Linked DNA regions of Oryctolagus cuniculus. The protein of the gene in region 1 interacts with the protein of each later gene in a pairwise test. Links are inferred from orthologs where the notes say so. Each region holds a gene or a part of one and is shown on either strand. Other genes may lie near its edges. The genes, in order: HOMER3, MOS, PKN1, PSMA1, PAX6, EIF3D and USP2.

The links.
Region 2: the proteins of HOMER3 (region 1) and MOS interact in binary tests that used the Homo sapiens proteins (3 or more experiments, as listed by UniProt). The two-hybrid records come from large-scale screens. The link is inferred for Oryctolagus cuniculus from reciprocal best matches to the Homo sapiens genes HOMER3 and MOS.
Region 3: the proteins of HOMER3 (region 1) and PKN1 interact in binary tests that used the Homo sapiens proteins (3 or more experiments, as listed by UniProt). The two-hybrid records come from large-scale screens. The link is inferred for Oryctolagus cuniculus from reciprocal best matches to the Homo sapiens genes HOMER3 and PKN1.
Region 4: the proteins of HOMER3 (region 1) and PSMA1 interact in binary tests that used the Homo sapiens proteins (3 or more experiments, as listed by UniProt). The two-hybrid records come from large-scale screens. The link is inferred for Oryctolagus cuniculus from reciprocal best matches to the Homo sapiens genes HOMER3 and PSMA1.
Region 5: the proteins of HOMER3 (region 1) and PAX6 interact in binary tests that used the Homo sapiens proteins (3 or more experiments, as listed by UniProt). The link is inferred for Oryctolagus cuniculus from reciprocal best matches to the Homo sapiens genes HOMER3 and PAX6.
Region 6: the proteins of HOMER3 (region 1) and EIF3D interact in binary tests that used the Homo sapiens proteins (3 or more experiments, as listed by UniProt). The two-hybrid records come from large-scale screens. The link is inferred for Oryctolagus cuniculus from reciprocal best matches to the Homo sapiens genes HOMER3 and EIF3D.
Region 7: the proteins of HOMER3 (region 1) and USP2 interact in binary tests that used the Homo sapiens proteins (3 or more experiments, as listed by UniProt). The two-hybrid records come from large-scale screens. The link is inferred for Oryctolagus cuniculus from reciprocal best matches to the Homo sapiens genes HOMER3 and USP2.

What each region holds. Positions count from the first base shown.
Region 1 is NC_091447.1:65,895,665-65,900,077, reverse strand, and holds the start of HOMER3 (homer protein homolog 3), read left to right. Parts: upstream 1-1,606; 5' UTR 1,607-1,748; intron 1,749-2,368; exon of another isoform or gene 2,369-2,522; intron 2,523-2,687; exon of another isoform or gene 2,688-3,123; intron 3,124-3,900; 5' UTR 3,901-3,942; coding exon 3,943-3,956; intron 3,957-4,050; coding exon 4,051-4,207; intron 4,208-4,362; coding exon 4,363-4,413. UniProt on the Homo sapiens protein: Postsynaptic density scaffolding protein. Binds and cross-links cytoplasmic regions of GRM1, GRM5, ITPR1, DNM3, RYR1, RYR2, SHANK1 and SHANK3.
Region 2 is NC_091437.1:81,358,629-81,361,748, reverse strand, and holds MOS (proto-oncogene serine/threonine-protein kinase mos), read left to right. Parts: upstream 1-1,500; coding exon 1,501-2,547; 3' UTR 2,548-2,552; downstream 2,553-3,120.
Region 3 is NC_091447.1:63,092,057-63,096,361, forward strand, and holds the start of PKN1 (serine/threonine-protein kinase N1), read left to right. Parts: upstream 1-1,389; 5' UTR 1,390-1,404; coding exon 1,405-1,461; exon of another isoform or gene 1,462-1,744; intron 1,745-4,305. UniProt on the Homo sapiens protein: PKC-related serine/threonine-protein kinase involved in various processes such as regulation of the intermediate filaments of the actin cytoskeleton, cell migration, tumor cell invasion and transcription regulation.
Region 4 is NC_091432.1:51,702,820-51,707,058, forward strand, and holds the start of PSMA1 (proteasome subunit alpha type-1), read left to right. Parts: upstream 1-1,418; 5' UTR 1,419-1,812; coding exon 1,813-1,815; intron 1,816-1,957; exon of another isoform or gene 1,958-2,193; intron 2,194-2,951; coding exon 2,952-2,996; intron 2,997-3,263; coding exon 3,264-3,365; intron 3,366-3,480; coding exon 3,481-3,584; intron 3,585-4,239. UniProt on the Homo sapiens protein: Component of the 20S core proteasome complex involved in the proteolytic degradation of most intracellular proteins. This complex plays numerous essential roles within the cell by associating with different regulatory particles.
Region 5 is NC_091432.1:34,172,758-34,176,972, forward strand, and holds the start of PAX6 (paired box protein Pax-6), read left to right. Parts: upstream 1-1,220; coding exon 1,221-1,230; intron 1,231-2,832; exon of another isoform or gene 2,833-3,200; intron 3,201-3,236; exon of another isoform or gene 3,237-3,708; intron 3,709-4,215. UniProt on the Homo sapiens protein: Transcription factor with important functions in the development of the eye, nose, central nervous system and pancreas. Required for the differentiation of pancreatic islet alpha cells.
Region 6 is NC_091442.1:113,759,811-113,763,530, reverse strand, and holds part of EIF3D (eukaryotic translation initiation factor 3 subunit D), read left to right. Parts: intron 1-305; coding exon 306-438; intron 439-916; coding exon 917-1,064; intron 1,065-2,037; coding exon 2,038-2,168; intron 2,169-2,796; coding exon 2,797-2,882; intron 2,883-2,966; coding exon 2,967-3,096; intron 3,097-3,720. UniProt on the Homo sapiens protein: mRNA cap-binding component of the eukaryotic translation initiation factor 3 (eIF-3) complex, a complex required for several steps in the initiation of protein synthesis of a specialized repertoire of mRNAs.
Region 7 is NC_091432.1:110,941,583-110,945,813, forward strand, and holds the start of USP2 (ubiquitin carboxyl-terminal hydrolase 2), read left to right. Parts: upstream 1-1,378; 5' UTR 1,379-1,518; intron 1,519-1,982; exon of another isoform or gene 1,983-2,482; intron 2,483-3,308; exon of another isoform or gene 3,309-3,468; intron 3,469-4,231. UniProt on the Homo sapiens protein: Hydrolase that deubiquitinates polyubiquitinated target proteins such as MDM2, MDM4 and CCND1. Isoform 1 and isoform 4 possess both ubiquitin-specific peptidase and isopeptidase activities.

The DNA.
Region 1 (4,413 bases):
AGCCCCTGCTGCCTTCCACCCCGCCCCCCACCCCGGACCTGGGGTCCTCAACCCAGGGCTGGGCCCCCACCTGCCTGTTAACCCCTTCCGGCCTGGGCCAGAAGGAATGGAGTGACTTCGCTTTGGCCTGAGTCAGAGGTCAAGTTCTGAACTTGAGGCAGGGTCTCCGGCGGCTGTGCCCCCGAGGCATCACACTCTCGCTCGCCCTTGACCCCCAGGCGTCCAGCCAGTGCTGGGAGGACACGGGTTTGTCTCAGCTCTCGAGGTGCACTCAGGCCCGGGGGGGAGTCAGAGGTGGACACAGAGGTGAGGCTTTGAGGAGTGAATAGGAGTTTGCCAAGCGCTTAAAGTCTGGAAGCTGGACCAAATTGCTATGGCCGGGGGAGGGGGGACAGGGGAAAGAAAGGGGCAAGTGGGGGCCAGCACGGTGGCCCAGCCTCTCATACGAACACCGGGTTCGAGTCCTGGCTGCCCCACTTCTGATCCAGCTCCTGCTGATGCACCTGGGGAAGCAGTAGAAGATGGCTGGAGTCCTTGGGCCCCTGCACCCACATGGGAGCCCTGAGGGAGCTCCTGGCTTCAGCCCGGCCCGGCCCTGGTGTTGTGGTGGGGGCCCGAGTACCTGAGCCGGTGCCACCTGCTGCCCCCAGGGGGCTTGGCAGACACTGGGGCTCCTCTCTCTCTGAAAGCCTGCGTGGTGTCTGCTGCAGGTCCGGCTTGATCCAGGAGCAGGACAGAGCCACGCGGGAGGTGAACGGGAGCTGAACCCTGGCACGGACAGGCGCGGGACCCGGGAGGCTGGGCCCCTGCTTGGGCCGAAGGGAGCGCTCCAGGGAGGAGCAGAAGCCCCTCCCCAGACCCTCGGACCAGAGACATTAAAACAGGGGAGGGCTCTGGCTGGGGTGGGGGTGGGGCAGAGGCTCGGGGCAGCCCTTTCTCCTGTCTCCACCACTGGGGGACAGCCGGGTCTACACCACCTCCTCCCCTCCCCACCGCTCATTCCGGCCCTGCCAGCATCCACCCATTTCCCAGGGGTGAAAACTGAGGTCCACACCCAGGGAACCACGCCCACCCCCTCAAGCCCGGCTGTGACGGCTTCAGGTCAGGGCTGCTCAAGGCCAACCGGGTGCCAGCCCCTCCCAGAAGCTGGGAATGGGGTTCAGTGCAGCCACTCGGTGCTCGCTCACTCTCCCTCTCTCCCTCTCTCGCACACACAGACACCATTGCTTTCTGCCTACGCTAGGAACAAAGTCAGCTTGGGCCCCTGCCCAGCTGCTCTCCCCTCCCCCGCCCTGATACCCACGTGGGCAGCCGGCCCAGCACTCGGCACACCCGGGGTGGCTTCCAGGAGCCCCGGGCTTGCCAGAAACCGATTTAGTTATTAAAAAAAAAAAAATGATTTTGCTGGGCCTAAGGAAAGGTCGGTCTGTGGACAGAACAGACCCCGCTCCCGTGTTCCCGAGAGTTTGTGCCTCGGGCCCTCGGCTGGTGCAGCAGCAGCTGGGCCACCCCCGGAGGAGGGGCCCACGCGGGGTCACAAGGCGCTCGGGACGGTACGGAGGCCCCTGGGAAGCAATGGGGCCGTCGGGGGAGAGTCTCTTTCAAGCCTGGGAGAACCAAGGGAGGCTTCCTGGAGGAGGCGGACCACAGCGGAGCTGAGCCTCGGAGCCCAGGAACGGAGCGCGTCCGGGGTGGGGAGGCGTGGAGGCGGCCGGACCCTGGATCCACCCAACGTTCATTCGTGAAAGGTGGCCACCGGCTGCGCTGGGGGATTCTGGGTAGCGAGACACACGGGTGCCGGGGGCTGGGGGGGGGAGCCCCTGAGGCTGTGGGAAGATTCGGGGGTGGGGCCCAGAGCCCCGGGGACCCTTGGGCTGAGTTGTTGCAGGACCTGAACCCATGAACCCAAAACAGTGGCGGGGGGGGGGGGGGCATCCGGAGAAAGTCCCAGAGAAAGGCGTGTTGGGGGGGGAGGGGCAGGCCCTGCCCCCAGCAGCGTGGCCAGCGTGGGTCACTCCACCTGCGGGCCTGGGGTCCTCTCGGGGAGACCCAGGGGCCCAGGCAGGCAGCCCTGCCCCACCCACGTCTCCTCTTTTCGGTGGTAACCCCTATGGAGCACCTACTGTTTGCATCTCCTGGGCGCAGAATCCGCACCCAGCTCCTGAGCCCCGCCCGGCTGCCCCCCCAGCCCAGGCCCGAGGGCGAGAGCCCCCCACCCCCCTCCAGCTCTGCGCATCCGCCTCCTGTCCCTGTCCGGACGTCCGTCTCCGTCCGTCTCTCCATCCCCACCCCTCCCCCGCCCCCTCCCCCGCCCGCCGTCGGGGGCCAGCAGGGGGCGCAGCGGGGCGGCCTCGGCGGCCCGGGGAGGCGGGGCGGGCGGCGGCCGCGTCGGGACCGGCCGCGATGGGACCGGAGGCGGCGCGGACGGCGGCGGCGCAGACAAAGGCGCGGGCGGCGCGTTGGGCGGCGCGGAGGGCGCGGGCCCCGGAGGCTGGGAGCGAGCGGGGCGCAGACCCGGCAGGGTGAGCCCGGCCGGCCGATCCTGCGCCCGGAGCGCGGGGGGCCTCGGAGTCCCCGGGCCCGGGCGGAGGTTGGGGGGAGGGGGGAAGCCGCGGGGCGATCCCCAAGTTCCGGACCTGGGGACTGGGGCGGGGGGCGGCGCGAGGGGGCGGTCCCCGAAGTTCTAGATCTGGGCTTGGAGAGGCGGCCGAGGCGGGGGAGGGTCCCCGAAGTTCCGAAGTCGGGGGCCGGGAGGGGACGGCTGGGCACGCGAGGTGCCCGACGTTCCGCACCCGGCGTCGGAGGAGGCTGCGCGCGCGGGGTGGGGGGATCCCCGACTTTCCGAGGTCCGCGTCAGCAGGGTGTCCCCGAAGTTCCGCGCCGGGCGGTGGGGGTGGCAGGGAAGGTGGCCCCCGGAGTCGCGGACCTGGGGCTCTCGCGGGGATCTCCGACGTCCCGAGGTGGGGGCGCGCCCGGGGTGTCCCCTACCCCCGGCGGATGAGTCCGGGGCGCATAGGGTGTGGGGCCTCTGCCCCGGGCCCCCGGGAGGTGGCGAACCCCCACCCCCACCCCGCGGCGGGAGCCCGGGCGCGCTCGGCGGCGTCCTGGACGCGTGACCCGTGGGTGAGTAACTTGTCCCAACGCCCCAGTCTCGGCGGGGGCGGGCCCGGGGCCGGAAGGGCACCTCTGCGCCCCCCTAATCCTGCCGCGCCCGGGACCCGCCCCTGGCCGCCGCTCCCCCTGCCGGTGGGGAGGGGCTCCGTGTTCTGAGCCTCGGACCCCCCCCCCCCCACAGCAGCCTGTGGGAAGGGGCATCGCGGCCTCTGATCTCGGAGGTCCCCCGCAGGTGCAGGTCTGGGGGTCCTGGGGGCAGCTTCCTGGGGGTGGCGGCTAAGGGAAGCAACAGGGAGACTGGGGGACCCTCTTCTGCCCCCTCCTGGATCCTGCCCTGCCCCCACCCTGGAGGGCACCTGCGTTGGATGGGGGGGTGGGTCCCTGGGGATTTGGACTCTGTCTTTAAGGTGCGCCGGTGCCCCAGGGTGACTGCGGGGGGGGGAGGGGTACTCTCTGGGAGTTCGGTCGGGAGCTGGTCTCCGGGCACCTGGCAGCGCCCCACATTTTGGCGGAAGGGCCCTGGTTTGGAGACGGATGGGTGCTGGCAGGTCGGGAGCATAGCCCCAGGATGGAGGGGGGACTGTGGGGGGGGTCTGGTACCCAGGGCCAGGTTGGGATGTCAGGAGTCCCCGAGCACCGGGTTTTGTGGGCGCTGCCCCCGGACAGGGGAGGATGGGACCCCTTTGCTCCCGTTCTGCACTTTCCTGGTTGAAGGTCTGTGCACCTGCTGGTGGCTCGCCTCACCCTGGCACAGGGGGCACTCAGAGGCCCCTCCCCTCTCTACAGGGGCCAAACCAGCAGCTCCGGCCACCCAGCCCGGTCTGACCAATGTCCACAGCCAGGTGAGCGCCCAGCTGCCCTGACCCTGAGCCCAGCCCCCCCGGGGGGGCACCCAGCACACCCCTACCCCCCACTAAGCACGCTCTGCCCGCGCAGGGAGCAGCCCATCTTCAGCACTCGGGCACACGTGTTCCAGATCGACCCGGCCACCAAGCGGAACTGGATTCCCGCGGGCAAGCATGCGCTCACCGTGTCCTACTTCTACGATGCCACCCGAAACGTCTACCGGATCATTAGCATCGGAGGCGCCAAGGTGGGGGGTGTGGTCCTGGGGCTGGTCCCCCCACCTTGCCGTGTGCCGCGGGGCATGGGAACCCCCCCCACTGACCCCTGCGAGGTCAAATGGGGGAGAGTTTTCAAGGTCACCATTGCTAGCGCCTGTCAACTTTGCCCCCACCCCACCCCCAGGCCGTCATCAACAGCACCGTCACCCCCAACATGACCTTCACCAAAACCTCG
Region 2 (3,120 bases), on another chromosome or scaffold:
TCAATCGGAAGCCGGAGCCAGGAGCCTCCTCCAGGTCTCCTATGAAGGTGCAGGGGCCCAAGGACTTGGGCCAACCTTTATTGCTTTCCCAAGCCATAGCAGAGAGCTGGTTCGGAAGAGGAGCAGCTGGGACTCGAACCTGTGTCCATATGGGATGTTGGCAAAGCAGGTGGTGGCTTTACCCACTACGCCACAGTGCCAGCCCTCCTAGTTTCCTACATGAAAATATTGAGGCTCAAACAGGTTAACTATTATACACAGGATTGCATGCTAAGCCACACAGGGAGCATAGAATGGAAATCCTTTTTCTTTTCTAGGACCCCACAGACATCAAATTGCTTATGTCAGTGGTTTGTATTTACTTACTTCTCAGAACCAGTATACTTCAGAAGCATATAACTGTCATTAAAATGTGTTTCTGAGTCACCTATGTGTTTATTGATGCTTTAAAATATGGAAACGTTACCATTCGAGTATTTACAAATGTAGATGCTACATTATTAGGTGTCTTCAACAAATGGGGTAATATCGTTCTTTTTTTCCAAAGATGTGAATGTTAATTTGTGTTATAAGAACCAGAAAGAAAGAATTCATGGTTTCTTGTGCCATTTTTATTTTTTCAGATTTTTCCACTTCTATAATTCCCCCATCTCTGTGATTATTTAAAGCTCTGACCATGGCTCAGAATCACTTTTGCTTTTCCCTCTCCCCTAATTCCGCTTCAGTACTTCAGCTCATTTGCTGCCGAGTCTTATGTGTGAGTTTGCCAGGTGAATCCAATTGCTGTGGAAAGGAAGGATGGTTAGGAAGTCAATGTGACGTTAAGGAGTCTTGCTAATCTGCTGTGTAAGCTGAATGGAGAGACAGAGAATTCTTTTCCTTGATGAATCGAGGAGGTACGTGTTTTGACCTCTGTGTGTTTCTATTTGGAGTGATTCCTTTAAGGTTGCAATTTAGTTAGCTACATGAATGTTGCACCTAATTATCTCTGAAACAGGTTAAACAAACCTCTGCTGTTCCTTGCTCAACTCTTGCAGCCAATAACTGCTGGAAGTGATTTAATGCAGCTGGAGAGTAACCCTCACAATCATTATAGCCTGCAAAGTGTGAAACAATTACATCGTATTTTTGTGATCTCTTTGGTCCAAGAACGTGCATTGGACCAGAGTTGAAAAAAAAAAAAAAAGCCTCTTCCTATGAAAGATCGCTGTGTAAGTAGGGTGAGTTTTGGGACAAACTAGTGCTGTTTATCCGAGGAGAGCTTATTTTGACGAGAATTCACTTTAAGTGTGGAAGGAAAAACTCTCTGCCTGCCCGGCATCTGATAGACCCTTGCTGAGCGAGAAGCGCAGATGTAGCTCATTTGGAGAAGACGAAGGAAGAGGAGAAAAAGGAATGGGGTGGTGTGAAGGAGTGGTCCTTCATGTTTCCGAACTCCTGCGGTTTTTCCTGATCTTTACACTCACCTTGGCCTGGGGCTCTCTTTAGGGAGCGCGTACCATGCCCTCGCCTCTCGTCCTGCGCCGCTGCCTTGCTGCCAGCGAGTTGTCCCCGTCGGTGGACTCGCGGCCGTGCAGCAGTCCTTCGGAGCTCCCCGGGAAGACGGGGAAGCTCTTCCTGGGGGCCACTCCTCCTCGGGCCCCTCGGCTGCCTCGCCGTCTGGCCTGGTGCTCCATCGACTGGGAGCAGGTGTGCTTGCTACGGAGGTTGGGAGCCGGAGGGTTTGGCTCTGTGTACAAGGCGACTTACCGTGGCGTCCCTGTGGCCATAAAGCAAGTGAACAGGTGCACCAAGAACCTACGAGCATCCCAGCGGAGTTTCTGGGCTGAGCTGAACATTGCAAGGCTACGCCATGACAACATCGTGCGAGTGGTGGCTGCCAGCACGCGCACGCCCGCAGGCTCTAACAGCCTAGGGACCATCATCATGGAGTTTGGCGGCGACGTCACATTGCACCAAGTCATCTACGGGGCTCCTGGCCTGGCTGCGGAGGAGTCGGAGGCGCCCCACCATGGCACTGGGGAGCAGTTAAGTTTGGGCAAGTGTCTGCAGTACTCCCTAGATGTCGTCAACGGTCTGCTTTTCCTTCACTCACAAAGCATTGTGCACCTGGACCTGAAGCCCGCGAACATTTTGATCAGCGAGCGAGATGTCTGTAAGATTGGTGATTTCGGTTGTTCGGAGAGGCTGGAAGATCAGAGGTGCTGTCCCCCTTACCACCTGGGAGGCACATACACGCACAGAGCCCCCGAGATCCTGAAAGGAGAGGCTGCCACGCCCAAGGCCGACATCTACTCTTTTGCCATCACGCTCTGGCAGATGGCCACCAAGGAGGTGCCCTACTCCGGGGAGCGTCAGTACGTGCTGTACGCAGTGGTGGCCTACAACCTCCGCCCGTCTCTCTGTGCGGCTGTCTTCAGGGACACTGTGCCCGGACAAAGGCTTGGGGACATCATTGAGAGCGGCTGGAGGGCCAGTGCTTTGCAGAGGCCCAGTGCGGACCGCCTGCTGGTGGACCTTAAATCCTTAACCACGGAGTTCACCTGACTCCCGACCCGTTTCAAGATAAGCTTTTGTCTTTATTTCTATCTACTTTTAAGGAAGTGGAGATGTAGAAGAAAACATATTCGTAGCATGGATTTTTTAAAAAAAAAAAATAAAGTTACTGCAAACTTGAGTCTCAAATGCCTTTTCTTTGACAAATGGCAAAAGCTACGTGTTTAGTGTTGTTGCTAACTTACCTCATACTTTATATAGTTTTCTCTCCATAGGTCCAGTGCTTATTTGAACTATTCCATATGTTCAAATTTGTTGATAAATAACATATATATTCCATATATTCAAATTTGTTATTGATAAAAATATTTTGTCTAAAACAGGATTCCATTGCAGAAATGCTACAATTTTCTGAAATTCACACCATATGGTCCATCTCTACCACCTACATCCAAACTATTAACAGATCACTTACAAATCAGGTTATATACCAGATCAGTAAAATATTTTTTTAAATGCTTTCTTTCTTAAATTCGAGGGATTGGGAGGATGAAAAAAGAGAGCGAGAGAGAATGCTCCCATCTGTTGATTCACTCCCCCCAAATGCCTGCACAAGGTAGTTGG
Region 3 (4,305 bases), about 2.8 Mb from region 1:
AAGCGAGCGGTAGCGGGTGGAGGAGGCGCTCCCGGCTGGCGGTGGGGTGGGGGCCGCAGCCCCGGGGGCCGCCGGGAGCCCCGCCCCCGGCCCCGCCCCCTCCCCGGGCGCCGACCTCGGCGGTCACGTGACCGAGCCGGCCGCTGGGGCCGGAGGGCGCGGCGCGCGCGGACGCGGCGGCGGCCTGGCCAGGCGGGGCCGGAGCCGAGCAGGCCGGAGCGGGCCGCGCGCCGGGGCAGGGTCGCGCCGCTCCCGCCCCCTGCCCGCCCCGCCCGTGGCGCACGCGCGCTCCGCTCGCCGCCCCTCCCTCCGCGCGGGGACCCCTGGCGGGCGGCAGGAGGACATGGCCAGCGACGCCGTGCAGGTAGGCGCACCTGCGTCCGCAGGCGCGGGGCGAGCGGACGGCGCCGCCGGGGACCCCCGGCCGCACGCTGCCGGGCACGCCGGGAGCCGGGCGGCGAGGGCGGGGGCCTCCCGAGCGCCCGGCGCCCCCTCCCCGGGCTGGGACCGTGGAGCCAGCACGGCCCCCTTCTCTGCAGGTGAAGGTACGGACTGGGCGGCCGGGGACGGGTGGGCTGGGGTACGGTCTGGAGGCCCTCGCAGCATCCCCAAACTCAGCGCCTCCCCGGGAATCTGAGGGAGCGCGTTCGAGGTGGTCCTTGGGGCGGGGGCGTCTCTGGCTGGATGTGTGACCCCCTTCTTTTCGACTCCATCCTCCTTACTCACCCCCCACCCCCGCCTCCCCAGCGTTCGGTTTCTGGCAGGTGCCGCTCGCTCCACCTGGGACAGGTGCCTGGCCCGGTGCCCCGGGAGGGGGGTGGAGGCCGCCCGGCCCGTGCCCCTCCCCCGCGCTGCCACCTCCGCCTCGGGACGGAGCTAATTTACCGTGGTCCGGACGCCACCCAGATTGGCACCTGTTGGCGGAAGTGTCCGAGTCACCTCATTAGGTCCGGGGTGGGAGGAGACCGGGGTGGGGGGCGCGGCTGGGGACCCCCTCGCACACCGCTTGGATTGCCAGGTAGACCTTAGGTCGGACAGGGCGCGGGAGTTTGGGGGAGTGTCCAAGTGGACCATTCCGGGATGTTCCTGTGGTCCCTTAGGGAACCCCTGCCCCCCCCAAACCTCCACGGAGACACATGGTTGGCCTCAGCTGGCCACTCAGCCCTCCCTATTCTCCTTGTGCCCCTTAGGGGGGCCATATTGCTCCCAGACTCACCTGTAACCAGGGGGACCTGGGCCATCGCGGAGTTCAGTGACCCAAATCTGATCCGTGGCTGTGTCTCACCTTGCAGTCCGCCGCCCTGTGTGTGTGTCGTGTGTGTAACCAGGTTCTCTCCTCTGCACCTGCTCCCCACCCCCACCCCCTCCGTGTCTCCCCTGTGCCCAGCACCCTCAGTCCTGTTGATGGCCTGCCAGCCTTGCCAAGGAGCTGGGCGTATCTGGTGTTGCCGTGCACACAAGGTCAGACCTCGGGCGCCGGGATGGGCCGGGGTCCCTGCCTGCCCCCCAGGCCCGGGGAGGAGACCCCTGGCGCCTGCATGCGCTTTGCCGAGCACCACGTAGGACCCACACGGAGGCTGTGGTTCCGGAATGAGGCTGGACCCGTGCCCTGGTTCCCCCTTCTCCCTTCCCTCCCTGCCTCCCTCCCTCCTGGTCCATCGCTTTCTCGTGGCTGCCGGGATGGGGGGATGGGGGGGCGCTGCTGCCCTGTCCCTCTGTCCCCAGCGCCGACGTGTGCCTGTCTGTTCTGTGTCCGGCCGACGGATGTCCTGTCTAGATTCCGGAAACACCCAAGGCATTGAAATCTCCGGACAAGGGGGGCGGGGGGGGGGCGCGGCATGGGGGTCTAGGTCCCTGGCTGCTTTGGGAAGAGGGGCATTCTGGGAGGTGGGCCGTCTGGGTCTGGGGTCTTCCTGCTCCGTGGTGGGAGGTTGGAGGAGCAGGGACTCTCCAACACCAGGCGGGGCCCCTGATGGCTGGGTTTGCTTGGCTGGCTCTCTGGTCACCTCTCACCCCCGGGTAAAAGTGAGTCACCCCCAGCAGGGAGGCCCCGGGAGGCCGGCAGCCCTCGCCCTGGATCTCAGCTCTCAGCTGTTGGAGGAGGAGCTGCCCCACCCCTCTGCCTGGGCGGTCCTGCTCCTGGCTGTGTCTGCTCATGCCTGCTGGGGACTGGTGGGGCTTGGCGGTGGGAGGGGTGGGCGGGGCCTGGTTGAGCCCGGGGTGGCCCTAGGTAAGCCTAGATTTAAATTCCAGTGCGTTTGTGGGGAAGCCGCCTGGCTGTGAAATCCTGGTGGGTTCATGACCTTTGAACCCCGGAGCTTCTTGGAAGGAGAGGGGTTGGAAGGGGCCCAAGCATTTAGCATGCTGATGTTTGGGGCTGGGTGGTTCTTGGTGGGTGCTGTCCCGTGCCAGATGGGACATCGGGGTGGGGGTGGGGGCATGGGTAGGAAATGCCCCCTCCACTGAGGACCACCCTGTGGAGTGAGTAGAATAAGGGCCCTGCTCAGGGTCAAGATTATTTGAAATGAGAGACAGAGATCTTCCATCTGCTGGTTCACTCCCCAAATGCCTGCAACGGCCGGGACGGGGTCAGACCAAAGCCAGGAGCCTGGAGCTCCATCCGGGTCTCCCACATGGGTGGCAGGGACTCAAGGACTTGAGCCACCACCTGCTGCCTCCCAGACACCATAGCGGGGAGCTGGCTTGGCAGCACAGAGCGACTGGGACTCCTCTATATGGGATGCAGATGCTGCACCTTATAACACCTACCCCTGGAGAATTCTTGCTTTAAATCCTGGCCCTGCCTCCTGCTGGCGGTAGGACCTTGGTGGGGGCCCTTTGGGCCTCAGTTATGCGCTCTTGTAAATGGGCTGATAATGGCACCCAGCTCATGCACTTGTGTTAGCTGCCCTTGGTGAGGTTTGCAGCAACTGCTGGTCCTCGTAGCTGAACTCGAGTGTTAATGTGTGCTCAGGGTGTGGTTTGTGGGCTGCTGGCCTGGGGACGTTCGTGTCCCAGCCCCACCCCCCCCCCATGCTGTTTCATGAGGTCAGGCTCAGGGAGCCGCTTCTGGGCCCACCCAGCGCCCTAAGCCTCTAAGCTGTGGTCAGCAGCCGCTGGCCGGCCAGCCAGAGAGGAAGCAGGAAGCTGGGCGGTCTCTGTGGAGGAAGAGGCGGGGTGGGGGGACTGCCTAGCAGACGCGCTGTCCTGACCCTGAAGGGGAAGTTGGGGACAGGGGGTGCGTGGGAGGGTCCGGCCACAGGGACATGTTCAGGTCACAAAGGTTGGAGGCCTTGGAGTTGTGCCATGGAGACCTGCAGGGGCGCCTGCGTGTGGGAGCATGTGGGTTGTGTGCACTTGGGCACGGGGTGTATGTGTGCGTGCGTGTGTGTGTGTGTGTGTGTGCACTGGGTCGGTTCTGGAATGACCCGAGCAGCACTCACCGGTGTATGCATGTCCGCAGGCAGGCAGGCAGGCCTGGGGGTGTGCACAGCCCAGGAGCCTCTGCAGATGTGGGAGTGTGCACCCCTAGGAGCCCGTGTCCAGGCACACCTCTGCAGGTGTGGGAGTGAGCACCCCTAGGAGCCCGTGTCCCAGGCACACCTCTGCAGGTGTGGGAGTGTGTGCGCACCCCTAGGAGCCTGTGTCCAGGCACACCTCTGCAGGTGTGGGAGTGAGCACCCCTAGGAGCCCTGTCCCAGGCACACCTCTGCAGGTGTGGGAGTGTGTGCACCCCTAGGAGCCCGTGTCCCAGGTACACCTCTGCAGGTGTGGGAGTGAGCACCCCTAGGAGCCCGTGTCCAGGCACACCTCTGCAGGTGTGGGAGTGTGCACCCCTAGGAGCCCGTGTCCAGGCACACCTCTGCAGGTGTGGGAGTGAGCACCCCTAGGAGCCCTGTCCCAGGCACACCTCTGCAGGTGTGGGAGTGCGCACCCCTAGGAGCCCGTGTCCCAGGCACACCTCTGCAGGTGTGGGAGTGTGCACCCCTAGGAGCCTGTGTCCAGGCACACCTCTGCAGGTGTGGGAGTGTGCACCCCTAGGAGCCCGTGTCCCAGGCACACCTCTGCAGGTGTGGGAGTGTGCACCCCTAGGAGCCCGTGTCCCAGGCACACCTCTGCAGGTGTGGGAGTGTGTCTAGGCACACCTCTGCAGGTGTGGGAGTGAGCACCCCTAGGAGCCCGTGTCCCAGGCACACCTCTGCAGGTGTGGGAGTGTGTGTGCACCCCTAGGAGCCCGTGTCCCAGGCACACCTCTGCAGGTGTGGGAGTGTGTGTGCACCCCTAGGAGCCCGTGTCCCAGGCACA
Region 4 (4,239 bases), on another chromosome or scaffold:
ACAATATCCAATGTTGGTGAGGGTACAATGAAAGAGGATTCTCAGGCACTGTAGAATGTAAACAGATATAATATTTTTTTGCAACTTAGCCATATAAATCTTAACTACAAATGTGCATTCCCTCTGACCCCACAATTCTACTTCTATGAATTCATCATAAGGAGGTAATCAGGAAAGTACACCAAATAATGTATAATCATCATTATGGTATTTTTATAATAGCAAAAATTTGGAAAGAATCTAATTGCTCACCAATAGTAAGGTAAATTATCTCATTTCCACACAATAGAACACTATACAACTACTGAAAATATAATAGACATTTCATAAATATTTCAGAAATATTTATGAAAACAAAATGGCTATAACTTTTTAATAGTATTAAAAATAGTTTAATATAATTTTATATGTAAAAGAACTGACAGATTTGTATGCAACACATAACCATAAATATGTTACATGACAATTTTTAAATGGGCATTTAGTCACTCATTCAACATTCTTTATTCCCTTCGCCAATATTTATTAAGCACTTCATACATGCTAGGAATGTGTACATCAAAAAGATGAACTATTAATTTAATCTGTTACTTTAAAAATGACAATAACCATTGTTGCAAATTTGAGGGGGGCAACCCCATATACTACAGTTGAGGACCTAACAGTAAAACTTTTCTAAAAGCCAATTTAGCTCTTTTCATGAAAAGCCTTAAAATTATACATTTCATTTGAACCTGTAATTCCATTTCCTAGAACTGACTCAAAAGAAAAGAATATGGATGTTAAACATATATAGGAAACAGTTCGTGAGTTATTTGGAAGGACCTAAATATCAAACAATAGGGATCTGGGTAAATATATGTTCAGAATGCAGAATACCAGGGCATCTTTGTTTGACCTGCAAAATGTTGAAGACAAGAAAGCGTTCAAACACATACATGCAAAGGTTTCTAAACAGTGTGATTCTACACTGCTGCGAACCTGACCACACCACCTGAGCCAGTTCTTGTACATGCAAAACTCTCATCCCGAAGGGATGCTTTCAGCTCCAATGTCACCTTAATCTAGGCACTCACCTCTTCTTTAAAAAGAGAATTACCAGTTGGTAGGTGTTATTGGCAGCTATGCTCAGAGCTGTCTCAAACTAGTTCATTTGGGGATTTGCCAGAAGATCCTTTCGAAAAGAAAATAGATAATTCAGAAGAAAAAGTCCTTTTATTCTCAGCGGCCTAATCTAATCTATCGGGTGTCTGCTTGGTTCTGAGGGCATGGAAAGACAGTAGTTCAAAGTCCGGAGGAGGAAAACAACAGTGATAAAAAATGAAGGGCTGCTGGTATCAGGGTCTTCGAAGAAGAGATTTAAGGAAGGCAGAGGATTCATAAGTGCAAAGCAAAGAACGCACACCAGCAAGATACTCGAGGAAGAGTATGGCTGACACACATAAACAGGCGTTATTCTGTGGCCTTTCCTGAAGCCTCGTTCTTCTCAGACACACACAGCTCAAATCTCTGAGGACGATGAACCTGAGACTCCAGGACGGGCTACGAGCTGCTGTTTAGCCACTGCCTGCACTCCGGGGCCTACGTTTCCCGCCAATCTCAGTTCCTCCTTCTCCCAGGGCCCCGCCCACGCAGGAGGGCGCGAGGAAGCGCTGGAAACCTATCGATAGCTCCGGAATAGACTGATCTACCCTGCGCTGCCGCCGTCAAAACCCCGCAGCCTTTTCTGTAGATCGCCGAGCGGTAGTTTCGGCTGCGTTCCTTACTCCGCACCTTCGCTAGGAGTCCTGCAGCCAGGCCGGCGACGGAACCATGGTGCGTTGGGTCCCGATCCTTCGAAGGTTTAGGGCAGAGGTCCCAGTGACTTGGGGATGGCGAACCAATTCTCCTGCCGTTCTTAGAGCGGCCCGAGGCCACGGGGCATGGGAACCCCAGTCTGCGGGAGGGCTCCGGCAGTGATTCAGCATCTCCGGCCTGGCCTGGCGAGCTGCGGTCGGTAGCCGGTGCAGCCTTTTCCTCACGGCGCATTTCGCTATTCTCAAGGCCTCGATGAAGTGGTCGAGTCCGCCTCTCGAGTTCCCTCACCGGAGTAGATTCCCAGAGGTCCAAAACGATCCCTCGTGCTCTGGACGATAGAGAGACGGGACTTGACTCGGAGGCGGCCTTGTACCGCCGGGGCGGTCTAGACCCAGGGTGTGTGTCCTTAGATCGCGTCCCTTTCCTTGGTGGGTCCGTCCGACTTATCAGCCCCCTAGGGCGCGATCAGAAAAGGTCTCTTTCACTTTGTCCAGTCACCTGATTGCAAATGAGTGAACTTATCCTGAAAGGGGAAATGATGGACTCAGGATTATAATGTAGTTCTGTGGGCTTCAAGTCCCACGCCAAAGAGTCCAGCGTTCAGTCCGCTCTCCCCTGTGATTGTTCTGCCAAGTAGTGAAAGGCCTTTTTGAAGATTGTCTAAAACAGTAGTGTATCGTAGTTATTCGTATCTAGCCCAAAGTAACAAAGAAAAATTTTATGTGTACAAAAGTGCAAGTACAGGGGAGGCTCAAAGATAATCAGACATATCCCTAACCTTAATTTTAAGATAGAAAAGGATGTGTACAGAGCTGTGGGACTTCGTGCTGTGAGGGTTTTGGGAGAAGAATTCAAGAGATAGACATTTGAGCTCATTTAAAGAAAAAGTTTGATGCATATAAACTTCAATAGTTGAACCCAAAGGGAGCGCTATGGAGAGTGGCTGGGTAGAAAGTTGGAAAGATGAGACCCATTTAGAGCTGTTCCTTCCTCCCCAGCTCATAGAAATTGTAGACTTGGCTTGCCACTGAGTATAGTAGTAATCTTCCAGTGAGTTTGCCTTAACAGTTACTTTAATGTGTAATGAAATCACACATTTCTTAATATTAAGAGGAGGGTTCTGACAATAATTTGATCTTTTTTTTTACTTTCAGTTTCGTAACCAGTATGACAATGATGTCACTGTTTGGAGTCCTCAGGTAAGATAATGTTTCATACTATTCCATTCAAGAGCTTTTTCATGGCTGCAATATGTTTAGAAGGTTGTGTGATTGTAGACTGTGAGAAAATGGGATATATTCATTTTAGACACTCCCATAACTTAAATTTATAATTCAATACATTTTCTGGTTTTAAAAAAAGTCATTTGAGATTTAACAGTGCTCTTGAGGTTTGAGGACTCTTAATTCTTAATTTGTGAAACTCTTCTAAGGTGACTCTAAGACATGTGTTTTTTTTCCCTTTAGGGCAGGATTCATCAAATTGAATATGCAATGGAAGCTGTTAAGCAAGGTTCAGCCACAGTTGGTCTGAAATCAAAAACCCATGCAGTGTTGGTTGCATTGAAGGTAAATAAAGCAATAAATATATCTTCCTTTAGAAAGCAAAATTATCAAATGAAAATTTCACTGTGTAGGCAGTAAAGTTTTAAACTTATTTTTATCTTTTATGATGTCTATTTAGAGGGCACAGTCAGAGCTTGCAGCTCATCAGAAAAAAATTCTCCATGTTGACAACCATATTGGTATTTCAATTGCGGGGCTTACTGCTGATGCTAGGCTGTTATGGTGAGTATGATTTTGAAAAACAAACATCTCTGATTCATAATATTTTTTAAAGATTTATTTTATTTATCTGAAAGAGTTACAGAGAGAGGTAGAGACAAAAAGAGAAGTCTTCCATCTGTTGGTTCACTAGTCAAATGGACACAACAGCCAGAGCTGAGCCAATCTGAAGCCAGGATCCAGGAGCTTCTCCCACATGGGTGTAGGGGCCCAAGGACCTGGGCCATTGTCTGCTGCTTTCCCAGGCCATAGCAGAGAGCTGGACTGGAAGTGGGGCAGCCAGAACTTGAACCAGTGCCCATATGGGATGCCAGCACTGCAGGCCAGGGCCTTAACTCACTGCACCACAGCACTGGCCCCTGACTCATAATTGTTTACTTATCATGAAAAGACTGAGGTAAACTATGTTGGGAAGTTGTCTGCCAGAATGTTTATAAGTTAATATTATGACTATCTTAATGGATTGGGTTAGTTTCTGAATATTCCATATCCTGGTTCTTGTAATAGTAACTAATAGAATTCAACATACTGGTACTAAGACTTGAGAAGTCATCAAATAATGTGATAACTTAAAGTAACATGTGTTGTTTGAGACTCTGTTATGTCTAAGAAACACTTGACACTTTTGTATCATTTTTAAGAATGAGCTATACCACCT
Region 5 (4,215 bases), on another chromosome or scaffold:
CAGTGAGGCGAGGTAGACAGCGTGTGTCACAGTACAGTAAAAGGGGGGAAGATCTAAATGCCAAAAGAGAAGTTAATCACAGTAAGTGAGGTTTAGGGGAAAAAGTTGGGCTTGCCACTTTTCAAAGTCCCCGAGGGGCCAGGAGCCAGATGGAGAGGGGTCTGGCTGGGGAGCTTCTGTGTGTTTGGGTGGGGGTGGGGGGCAAAGGAAAAAGAATAACCAGAGAGTTGGGTTGAGGGGAGCTGGGGTGCTGAAATTCCACAAGGAAGAGGGGAGTGTGGCCCTGCAGCCCTCCCAGAATGCTCCAGCTTGTACCCTCAGGCACTGCGAGGTCCACCGAGGTCCCTTTCCCTGCACCTCCAAACTTCAGGAATCATGCTCTCCACCTCCACCCTACCCCCCAAGTTCCTGGCCTTCACTGCTTCCTCTGTTTTCCCCTTCCTCTTCTCTTGGTTCTTTATATTTTTGGCCAAGGGGGACCCCCAGCTTCTCGGATTCTCCATCTCCCCCAATCCAGGACAGAGCACCCTTTTCCAAAAAGGTGGGGACTTGTGTGGGAGAGGCTGCTGGAATTGTAGGTGTGAGGCTGGGGCTGAGTGTGTCTTGGCAGTTCCCTGAGTCCTCGGCGCCGGCTCTTCCCGGAGGGTGGGGTTCGAGATTCCCCGCACCTCCGCGTTGGAACTACTGTAACCTACCCTTCTCTCCCTCTGTTTTGTCTTAGGGGGAAGACTTTAACTAGGGGCGTGCAGATGTGTGAGGCCTTTTATTGCAAGAGTGGACAGACATCCTTGATATCAGGCAAGTTTTTCCGAGACTGCTTTGGGCTTCAAAACCTGAAGCAGTCCAACTCATAATGCTTCTTCATTATGGTTCAGATGGAAGAAAACAAATTCAAAATTGGGTCATCATTTCTCTGATTAAAGGGTTAACTACTAAAGGATTTAGGGGAAACAGATTGAGAATGTTAGAGTGTTTTATTTGAAGCCCCAAAGTTAGCTTTCGCAAGCACTGGAGGGCAGAGCCGAGTGACCCTCCAATCGCCCCCAAGCTGCTCCAGGGATCAGTTCCTAAAGGAGTGTTCTGTCCTGGCCCCAGGCCCTGCCCTGTTGGGAGTCCAGGCCTACCTGGTGCAGCAGCCCGGGATTAACTCCAATTTTCTTGCTAACAGAGCCCCCAAATTCGAGCCCCGTGGGATCCTGCGGCCCCCAGCCAACGCCAGCATGCAGAACAGTAAGTGCCTCTCGTTTTCTCGGGCCTGGGGCTAGGGACGCGTGGTGCTGCGGGTTGGGGTAGGGCACAGGGGCTGGCAGTGGCCGCGCTGGCCAGGTCGCCTGGCAGGGGTAAAAGGCCGGTGATCTGCAGTGACTGCGGCCCACTCGGCATCCAGCAGCCGGCGAACGGAGGGCGTTTGCTTTGCGGTTCCCGATCCTGGAGGAGCAGGGGCTGCGCCCTCCAGCACAGCCCGCCCGAGTTTTTGAAGCTGCGGTAGAGAAACCCCATCCCCCCCAAATCCTGTAACTCACACCCCCCTCCCCGCCCCTGCCCGGGCTCTGACCCCGGGGAGAGGGGTTGGGCTGAGCAGGGCGGGGCGAAGGCGTCTCCTGGTTGCACTGGGGAGAAGGAGGCCCCTTTGGGCTTAGCAGAGGCTGAATGCTCCGACCGGGCGGGGTAGGGGGCTTCCCTCCCCCAGTCACTCTCAGGGCAGGCAGCTCCTCCCCTCCCCACCCCAACTACGGGCCTAGAAGGGAAAGGGCGCGGAGCACCCCAGCCCGCCCGCAGCGGGGTGGGGGCGGTGAGCGGCGCTGTGGGAGCTGCTCCCGGCTGCAGGAGAGAGCAAGGTCTGCGGAGAGGGTGAAGGCTGCGCCCAGACGTTGCAACAGCTGCAACTGCCCGGGCCGGGTTGTCGCGGGCCTGTAGTGCTCGGTTCTTGTGCCAGGGCTCTTGTGCCTCCCTTCTTTGCTCTGCCCAGGTCCTGTGGGCCCCCACCCGCCCTCGTGCCCAGGTGCTAGGTGCCTTCGTACGGCAGGGCTAGACCAGAGCTACAGCCTAGAGGCCGAATGAAACCAGGGCGGGCAGGGGTTCACCGCAATCTGTACGCGGCTTAAGGGCTCGAAGCGTGGAAGGGCCTAGATCTTCCAGCAACCTGCTCTTGCCGAACCGCGAGGGCTCCGAAGGGTCCTCGGCGCCCAGCCCATGTGTTCCGGAGGCGCCGGTCGCCCCCTGGTGCTGCTGGGGCTGGTGGAACAGGAGGCTCAGAATAGGCACAGGGGCGGCAAGCGACACGGCAGATTTGCGCAGACCCTGCCACACTCGGAGGCCTGACCCGGGAGGCACCCACCTTGGCGAGGCGAATGCCTTTGGCCACCCCAACGTGCGGCTGGCTTCCCTGCCCCTGGAGTTGAAGCTCCTCAGCCCGCAGTTCCCCGGGTGGACCCCGCCGGCGCACGCAGCGCTGAGCGATTGCCCCCGCGGCCTGGCTGGCGGGCCCCGAGGGGCGCGGGGTCGCGGGCCGGCCCGCGGGGCTTTGTGCCGCTCGTTCCCGGGTGTGCGCGAGGCGCGGAGCATCCAAATTGACACCATATGTTTTCCTATTAGATGCTTCGCGGTCGAATTCGAGGCGCATAATCATCGCCACTGGGCGAGAGCGCCAGCCGTCCCTAGGGAAGGGACACAATGATTGAGGCTTAACCTCTGAAGGGGAATTTAGAGTTGCGCTTCCTCGCTGCCATTTCGATGCTGGCAGAGGCGCCCTGGCCCCGGCGAATCCTGGGCGAGCACCCGCGGGCCGTAGCTGCGGAGGTAGCATGCCTTTTTTTTTTTTTTTTGGTCTTTTTTTTTTTTTTCTTTTTTGGTGGTGTTTGCGGTGAGCTGACAAGGGGTGAGGGCTAGCATGCTCCGGCCAGTACTTGAACTTTGGAAAGTCTCTTCTCTGCCTCTTCCGGACAGCCTTGCTTCCCGCCCCCCCCAAGGCCCCCTTGGCACAGACGCGGGGCTCAGTGAGGCGCAGCGGTGGAACAGACTTGGGAGGCACGGGAAAGCAATAAAGGGAATTTGGGAGAAACCGGAAGCACGGCTAGGCCTGGCTGTGTAGGAGAAGCAGTGTCCCCGCAGCGTCCCCGCCTGCGCTGGGCCCGGCCGGAGCCCAGATCCCCCAGACGCCTGTCACTTCTCATCGAGTTGAGGCTCCAGCCCCCCCCTTGGTGAGCAACCTCCCCCTCAACCACCTCAGCCCCAAGCCCTGGGCTACCCTGAAAACGCGGCTCCCCTCGAAGGGGAAACTAGTGCAGTTCAATCTCGTCTGAGTGATCTACAAATAGGGACGGAAAGGGTCGTTTTATCACGGTCCCGTTTGTCGTGACGATGCAATTTCCCGGAGCGGAGCACTGTCACAAAGTGACAAGGCTGCCACAAGCGCCCCGACTGATCTTTTCAATTAGCCTTCCATGCATGATCCGGAGCGACTTCCGCCTATTTCCAGAAATTAAGCTCAAACTTGACGTGCAGCTAGTTTTATTTTAAAGACAAATGTCAGAGAGGCTCATCATATTTTCCCCCCTCTTCTATATTTGGAGCTTATTTATTGCTAAGAAGCTCAGGCTCCTGGAGTCAATTTATCAGCAGGCTCCAAGGAGGAGAGAGGAGAGAGGAGAGCGAGCAGGGAGCCACGTCTTCTCCTGGGAAGGCTGCTCTCTAGAGTCGGGGCTGCAGGTTGGAGATTTTTAAGGAAGTGAAAGTCGGGGGTTGGCGTTGTTTGTGTGTCGGCGGTTTCTGGGGAGGGGGCTCACGCGGGGTGCTGACTCCTTCTGCTTGCTCTGTGAGGCTGCACTTGGGGGTTGAGACGGTGAGATGCACAGATGAAGGGCGGATGGCCTTTTCCTTTTCTGTTTCTGGATTTTTTTTTTCTCTAATGTCTGTCCCTGGCTGTGGGGAGGGCGGAGTTCAGCGGCGGAAGTCAGGCGAGCAGTGACGGCTCCGAGCCCCACTCGCGAGGCCCGGCTGCTCTGGGGTAGGAGCCGAGAAGCGGTGCTGACCCTCAGCCCATAGGTGGAGGCGCGGAAAACCCACACTGGGGTTCCTCGGCCACATATCGGTCGCTCTGGTTCTTCCCTACTTCTGACCATTTCCCTTCTATTAAACAAAACCGAACCAAACCCGGTGTTCGTGCTGTGCCTTTGCCAGAGTTTAGATCGCGACGGCGACGTTTCTGGACTTAAG
Region 6 (3,720 bases), on another chromosome or scaffold:
TGGAGTTCCAGGCTCCTGCCTTCTGCCCGGCCCCGCCCTGTGGTTGAGGGCTTTGGGCGCATGAACCGGGGGATGGCAGGCCTGTCACCCTGCCCTTCAAGTAAACCTTTGATGGGGAACAGGTAGCACGAGGAGGCTGGGCGCAGGGGTTGCGTTTGCCCCGCTCTGTGGGGGCAGGGGCAGAGCCCACAGAGAGCACATCCCCCCGTAGAGCTCACTGCTCTCCGTCTCCGTGCCTCAGCCTCTGGGTCAGGCCTCGGCGGGCTTGGCGCCGCCCTTACCCTGTCTGTCCGCCTCTCCCACAGCGAGTGCTGCGGGGCCCTGGAATATTACGACAAGGCCTTCGACCGCATCACCACGCGGAGCGAGAAGCCACTGCGCAGCATCAAGCGCATCTTCCACACGGTCACCACCACGGACGACCCCGTGATCCGCAAGGTCTGCCCCCGCCCCGCCCTCCCCGCTGGGATCACGGCCGAGCCCCGGGGCCGGCTGAGAGCGGCACGTTTGTGTGTGTGGTTGGAACTGTTACGTAAGTCTTGGAGTCAGACTGACGGTTAGATGGGAACAAGGCCAAGGGCGGCCGGGGCGTAGATGAGTGTGGACAGTGCCTGACCCGGATCCCAGCCCTGCCGGGCCGCCTGGATTCAGCTCCGCAGCCTTAGTTTGCTCATCTGTGAAAGGGGTTTAGTGTACGCGGCCGTGCCGTGGGGAGCAGGGCGAGCCACCAGGGACCACTCGCCACAGTCTGCGGGGGCTCAGCCACGGTCCTGGTGACGCTGCTAACGGACGCTCCAGCTGCTAGGCTGCAGCCCTCTCGGGCACCCGGGGAGGCGTAGGGACGAGAAAGGCAGGGGCCGTGCGGCGAGCAGAGGCGGGAGTGGGCAGCTGGACCGGGGGTGTCTCGTCCTTGCAGCTGGCTAAGACCCAGGGGAACGTGTTCGCCACTGACGCCATCCTGGCCACGCTGATGAGCTGCACGCGCTCCGTGTACTCCTGGGACATCGTGGTCCAGAGAGTCGGGTCCAAGCTCTTCTTCGACAAGCGGGACAACTCTGACTTTGGTGAGGGGCTTTTCAAGGCACAGCCCGAAGGCCTGGGGGAGGTGTGGTCACAGTGGGCGTCTCAGGGTGTGCACGGTGTGTGCTGGTCACAGCGGGCCAGCCAACACGTCCCCTTCTGCGGTCTCCCTCTGCTGTGCACCGCTGGGGACTCCTTCTGTCCGGCCGTGAGTCGCTCGCCAAGCCTTGGGTGGCTTTGTTGACGGAGAATAAGCCCCACGTTGGAGAGCCGTAGGAAAGTGTCTGCCTCCCCCAGGTGTGGATGGCACCACACTCTGCTTCCAGACTATGTGCACTTTGTATTTCTGATTAAATGGAAGGCCCCCTGGTTGTTTTTTGCTGCAGTGAGTTTACCAAGGAAACAATACAATATATTTATTTGATGTGTAAATATGGATACACACACAGCCACAATGAAAACCAGGCCACTCAGAAGATAAAAGAGAATAATGGTGGTTGGTTGGTTTGTTTGTTTGTTTGTTTGTTTGTTTTAACAGCCAGTTAGTGAGAAAGAAACAGAGAGAAAGGTCTTCCTTCCGTGGGTTCATCCCCCAAATGGCCGCTACGGCCGGCGCTGCGCCAATCCAAAGCCATGAGCCAGGTACTTCTGGTCTCCCCTGCGGGTGCAGGGCCCAAGCACTTTGGCCATCCTCCACTGCACTCCCGGGCCACAGCAGAGAGCTGGCCTGGAAGAAGAGCAACCGGGACAGACTCCGGCGCCCCAGCCGGGACTAGAGCCCCGGGGTGCTGGCACCTAGCCTAGTGAGCCGGAGCGCAGGCTGGAATAATGGTGCTCTAAGCTTGAAGCCTGAGGCCGTTTCTTTGTTGAAAGGCTGACAGAATCAAGTATTCTGAAGTTACCCAAGTGTGTCACACAGTGGCTGGCTGTCCCATGAAGGGAGGGCCTGTGTCCTGGGACTGTCCACATTGCTGGGGGCTCTTGCCAGGGTGGGTGACCACGCTGCCATTTCCGCAGACCTGCTGACCGTGAGCGAGACAGCCAATGAGCCCCCGCAGGATGAAGGCAACTCCTTCAACTCGCCCCGCAACCTGGCCATGGAAGCGACATACATCAACCACAACTTCTCCCAGCAGTGCCTGAGAATGGTGAGCAGACAGGCGTGAGCTGACGGCAGCTTCGCTGCCACCGATTGCACCTGCTTCAGACTGGGCTCTGGGGTTATGGGATTGTAGGGGACAGGTGTGGTCCGTGCCTGTGGCCGAGGAGTTTTGGACTTGGGCTTTGAAGTCAGACTTTCTGGCTTTGAACCCTGGATTCCTCTACTTAATAGCTAGCTTGTGGCCTTGGCGTGTTTCCTCCCTGTAAAACTATAACACACGAGTTCTTTAACAAGTTTGTGGAAAATGGATTGAAAAGGTGTTTGTTTTGGTGCCAACAAAAATTTGAAAATGATGCATCTTCAACACATTTTCCACGAATGTTTTGAAGACTCCTTTTGTGTGGACTTCAGTTTTTTGCACAGAATAAACTTACCTTTTAATTCCATTCTCCAGACTTGTGAAGTCCCCTCGTTCTAGCACTTGTCTGACAGACATGACACTGCTCTAGGCGGTGGGACCAGCCGAGCCCTCCCTTGGGAGCGGAGCGGAGGGGCGCGGACGCTGGCTAGGAGCCGTGCTGTGGGGGTAGCACGGGACTGGCGCGTCGGAACTCAGTGCCGGCGTCGGGAGGGTGAGGGAACAGCAGGCCTGACGCCTGTCTGGCCTCCTGCAGGGGAAGGAGCGGTACAACTTCCCCAACCCAAACCCGTTCGTGGAGGACGACATGGACAAGAACGAGATCGCCTCCGTTGCGTACCGGTAGGCGCCTCTCGGGGGCGCGAGCTCCTGGCGGGAGGTGGGGCGAGGGCCGGGCCGGGACCCAGCACTGCTCCGTCCTTGCAGCTACCGCAGGTGGAAGCTGGGGGACGACATTGACCTCATCGTGCGCTGTGAGCACGACGGGGTCATGACCGGAGCCAACGGGGAAGTGTCCTTCATCAACATCAAGACCCTCAACGAGTGGGATTCCAGGGTGAGCCCCAGCTGGAGGAGCCGCCTCCTTCCGTCACCTTGACTCTGTCTGGTTTTCGTGCTTTGAGCTTTCCCTCCGCTTAGCGCCTCACTGAGCAGGAGCGTGGGCGTGTAGAACGCACTGCTTCAGCAGCCTCCGCCAAGCAGCAGCCCCCTTCCCCTGGTCTGTCCTCATCCCCGCTCCATCCTGACCCCTGTTGGCGTCCACCGTGTGCGTGTCCGGCTCCCGCCCCGCCTGTCGTCCAGGCCGGTGGTCTCCCTGCAGGCCCAGCCGCCTGTGCTGGACTCGGACGCTCGCTCAGCATCACAGGAAGCTGCTTCCCTCACGTCCTCCCTCGTGCTGGCGCGGTGCTGTTGGGCCGTGGGTGGACTGCGGGGGCGGCAGGGCTCCGGGCTGCTGTGCGGGACGGAGGCCCATCGGCAGGAAGCCCGAAGGCCCAGCTCTGCTGTTAGGTCTTCTATCCACTGCTTCACTCCCCAAATGGCTGCAATGGCTAGACCGATCTGAAGCCAGGAGCTTCTTCCGGGTCTCCCACACGGGTGCGGGGTTCCAGGCACTTGGGCCACCTGCTGCTGCCCTCCCGGGCCAGAGCAGACAGCTGGGTCGGAAGAGGAGCAGCCGGGA
Region 7 (4,231 bases), on another chromosome or scaffold:
GGAAAGCAGCAGAGGATGGTCCAAGTGCACCTGTGTGGGAGACCCAGCTCCTGGCTCCTAGCTTTGGATTGGCCCAGCTCCGGCCATTGTGGCCATATGGGGAATGAACTAGCAGACAGAAGACCTCTCTCTCTCTCTCTCTCTGCCTCTGCCTCTCTGTAGCTCTGCCTTTCAAATACATACATACATACATAAAAAAGCATAGGTGCACATGGATACTTGTGTTTTTAAAAAATGGGGGGGGGCATCTTCTTCACAGCTCCTGGCGCAGAGGGAAGAATGAATTCAGGTATGTTTGCAGGTAGAAACTTAGGTCTCCACATCCTGTTTGCACCTAGTTTCTCCAGGAAACAGAGGAGGAGGAGGGTTTGAGGGGTGTGCAGATGGGTGAAGTCACCTGCTATGGAGAAGGTACTCATTGTTGGTCCCAGTGAGGTTGAAAATCTGATCTTGCCCTGGCACCAGTCCACTTGGTCCTCACAAGCACGTGGAGAGGGGAGGCAGGTCAAAAGTGCAAGTGCTTGGGCCGGAGTTGTGGTGCAGCAGGTTAGGCCACAGCCTGCAAAGCTGGCATCCTGTACAGACACAGGTTCATGTCCCAGCTGCTCCACTTCCAATCCAGCTCCCTGCTAGTGGCCTGGGAAAAACAGCATTAGAGGGCCCAACTGCTTGGGCCCCTGCACCCAGGTGGGGGACCCAGAAGAAGCTCCTGGCCTCAGCCTGGCCCAGCCACAGCCGCTGTGACCATTTGGGGAGTGAGCCAGCAGATGGAAGATTTCTCTTGCCTCTCTCCGTAACTCTGACTTAAAAATAAAACAATTTTTAAAAAAATTCAAGTTCTTCGATGACGAAGGAGAATTCCTTCCATAGTCTCTGTTTATGCAATCGGGTAGTCATCAATACTCACCAATCCATGGAAGTAAACGGAGCAGGGAGCTCCTATAGGAGCAGGCCAAAGGAGTGGAGGCCTAGGCTGAGGACTTCCCCCAGCCCGGTGGAAAGGGGCAGTGACATTCAGCGGTTCCTAAAAACTGAAAGTGGATCCGCCCGGGGCTCAAGTTCCCAGGCTCCCTCCGCCCCCGGCCCCTCCGCTTTCCCAGTACCTTCCAGCTGCCCCGCCGCGTCGCATCCACCCCACTTCTGTCCTTGCTCCACCCACTGCAAACTGGCGTGCTTTCCTTCCACGTGGTACTCTGTGTACGTCGGTTGCCCGGGAGACCCTGGCCGGGCGGGGAGGGGATGACGTCACAATAGAGACGAGCCAATCGCCGTGAGACGCGGGGCGTGGCTCTGCCAGCCTGGGTGCAATGAGGTGGCTGCCCGCTGGGTGGCGCCGATTTCCCGGGGAGGTCCTTCCAGGGCCCCCGGCGGAGGTGGGGGAGAGGCGGGCAGGAGCCGAGGCCAGGGAGCCCTCTGCGTCAGCTGCTGCTCACTGCACCGCGCCTGTACCAGCCGGGACTCACCCGCAGCTCCATGCTTGTGCCGGGTTCGACTCGTCCATCCTCCGAGAAGAGGCAGGTACGTGCCACCTGTCGGAGATCGGGAACAGGGGGTGCGGAGGTCAGTTGCCGGTTTCAGGTTCCGAAGGTGAGAGGTCAGCGTCAGCCTGGGCACCAGAAATGTAGGGCGAGGGCCAGCTGAGCGGGGGAGCTCCAGCGGCGGGCGCCCGCGTGCGAGGGGGGCTGCCAGCTGGCAGCCCGTGGTGCCAGGAAGAGCCATCTGTGTACGGATCGGTGTGTTCCGAGAAGCGCAGCTCCCGCGGGCCGGGGGCCTGAGCCTCACCGCCTGGACGCCGACGGCCCCCTCCCCACGCGTGCGCGCAGCTCGCCAAGCTCGCGACGGCTGTCTGTGGTCAGTTTGCCAGAAGCGGGGGAGGGGGGTGTTGGGGGAGGGTAGCAGTTACGCGGAATGGGAGAATTTCCACCAATCCCAAATCAGAAAGAGGCATCTTTGAAATCCTCACCAATCCCAACCCAGACGCCGGCACGCGGTGCTCCGGGGCACGCAACTTCTAGTCTGGAGCCCAGGGAAGCCAGCCCAGGACGACCCATTCTAGCTCCCCGCGGAGGAGTGGGCGCTCCACCTCCCAGGCCCGCTGCTTTCGGAGCGGGACCAAGATGGAGCTGGAGGCAAGGGCTGCTGCCCTCGCCTCGCGCGTCAGGGGCGCGAGAACAGCCCCGGGGAAGCGCGGCTGCCCCCTCCCCTTTGATGCCGCACACACGTGCCAGGCTGCAGTTGGAATGAGGACCGGAATGACAGCCCGGGCGCGGGCGGCCTGGGAAGTGCATCAGCAGGTCGAGGGCTGAGTCAGTAGCCCGTGCTGAGACGGGGCGGAGGCACAGCCTGGGGAACTCGCCGCGCTCTGGGACAGCCAGCGAGAAACTACCCGGGAGCAGACAGGTGCACCAAGAACTCTCCTCCTCCTTCCTGCGACCCTGTGCGGCCCGGCCCCGAGGCCCTGGAATCCTGAGCTCTGGAACAGGTAGAGTGGGAGCCCCCAGCAGGGTCAGGCAGGGGGGGAAGGGTCCCAGATGGGCTGACTCCCCCCCCCTCCCCGTGTTGGAGAGGACATTTAGAAAGATGCTCTTCCCACTGATGGGCCAGGCACCTGTTCAGAGCCCTGTGGCACTCTGGTGTTGGAGAGGGTGCCCACGTCCCCTTCCCAGGAAGATTCGCGGGGTGAGGTGCTGCTCTAGTACAGCCGCTAAGCTACAGGAACCAAGGCAAGTGTTCGGTTTAACCGTCATGGGTTGGAGTCTTCTATAGGCCAGGAAATGTCACAAAGATTAATCCATGCTCACAACTGTGAGATGTACCCCTATTATTATTATTTTCTTTTATTATTATTCCTCCTGTATAAGCTAACAAGGAGCCCAGGCCCAGCGAGCACAGTGATTGCTCACTGTCTCAGATCCAGTGGGAAGGAGCTAGAATGCAAGCCCAGGCCGAGGCGTCCATGCTGAAAGCGTATGGAGCTGAAGCCTGGGTGCTGGCCGCTGTGCCCCGAGACCCACTCCTTCTCCCAGTTAAAGGAGCTGGGCTGGCCCCGAGGCCTCTCCCCTCTTTGCCCCTGTGGTGGACAGATCCAGAGCCTCTGCCTTTGCCCCCACCCCTCTGCCCTCTTTCCTGTCCTGTTTCCTCCTGACACCCACTCCCCTACCCCACCCCTCCGTCCCCCCTTCCACACGCGCCCCTCCCCAGAGGCCCAGCGGCTCTCTTAGGCTGGCACTGGCCAGGTGGGGCAGTGGCGGAGGGTGGGCCTGCTACTGTCCCTTTAATTCTCTCGGGGCTTGGAATCCAAGTGAGTTGCTGCCGTCTCAGGGAGGTCAGATAAGATACTATATATATCAGCCGGAACCCGAGCCCCGGATTACCCAGCCTCCTGGCTCGGGCTCTCCGCCTCCACTGGGTTCCCTGCCCTGCCCGGGAAGGAGAAGCCCCCAGGCTCCGCCAGCTCCCCCAGCACAGGTCAGTCGTGTGCCTCTGGTGTCTGCGTTTCTGTCCTCCAGACGTCCAGGGGTCTGGGGTAGCCTGTGGTTCGAGGCTGCCCACCCGGCCTGTGGGAGCCATGGGTGGGAGCTGAGGACTGAGGAAAGAGCGATCCCTGGAGGACAGAGTGGGAGATGGAGACGCTCCCTGGGGAGGGTCTGGGCAGATCACGCCTGAAGAGGGAATATATGGGCACCAGCGCTGCCTGCAGGTCCCGTTCTTTGCCACCTCTTGGAAGTAGAGGGATGCCCACCCCCTCCCAACCCCAAATCAAGACGCACCCTAGAAGGCAGTGCTCTGAGCCCTCCCACTTCTTCTCCACCAGTCAGGAGTCTCCCCCTAATCTCCAATCTCTATCACCCCTCCCCCATCCCTGAGCCCCTGCACAGCCCCCTAGAGACCAGAGGGACCCAGATTCCCCTGGATGGTCCCTTGCTGAGGCAGGGGCCCGGCGGTGCTAGCACAAGACAGACAGAGCTGCCACGAACAGGCAGGCGGGGAGGGGGCAGGTGGCCACCCCAGGGCAGGAGTGGAGCAGGCAGAGTTCCCGGACTGTGGGCCCCGCCCCCACCCTCTACCCGCATCCTCCACTCCTGCCAGGGTTGACACTTGTGCCCTGACTTTAGCAGGCGGCCAGCGCAGCGAGGGGTACGGGTCAGAGAGTGTCAGCTAGGGGCCCCCTCTCACCTCCCCCCTGCCCTTCAGGGGTCAGCGCATTCTGATGCTGTTAGCAAGCAGCTTT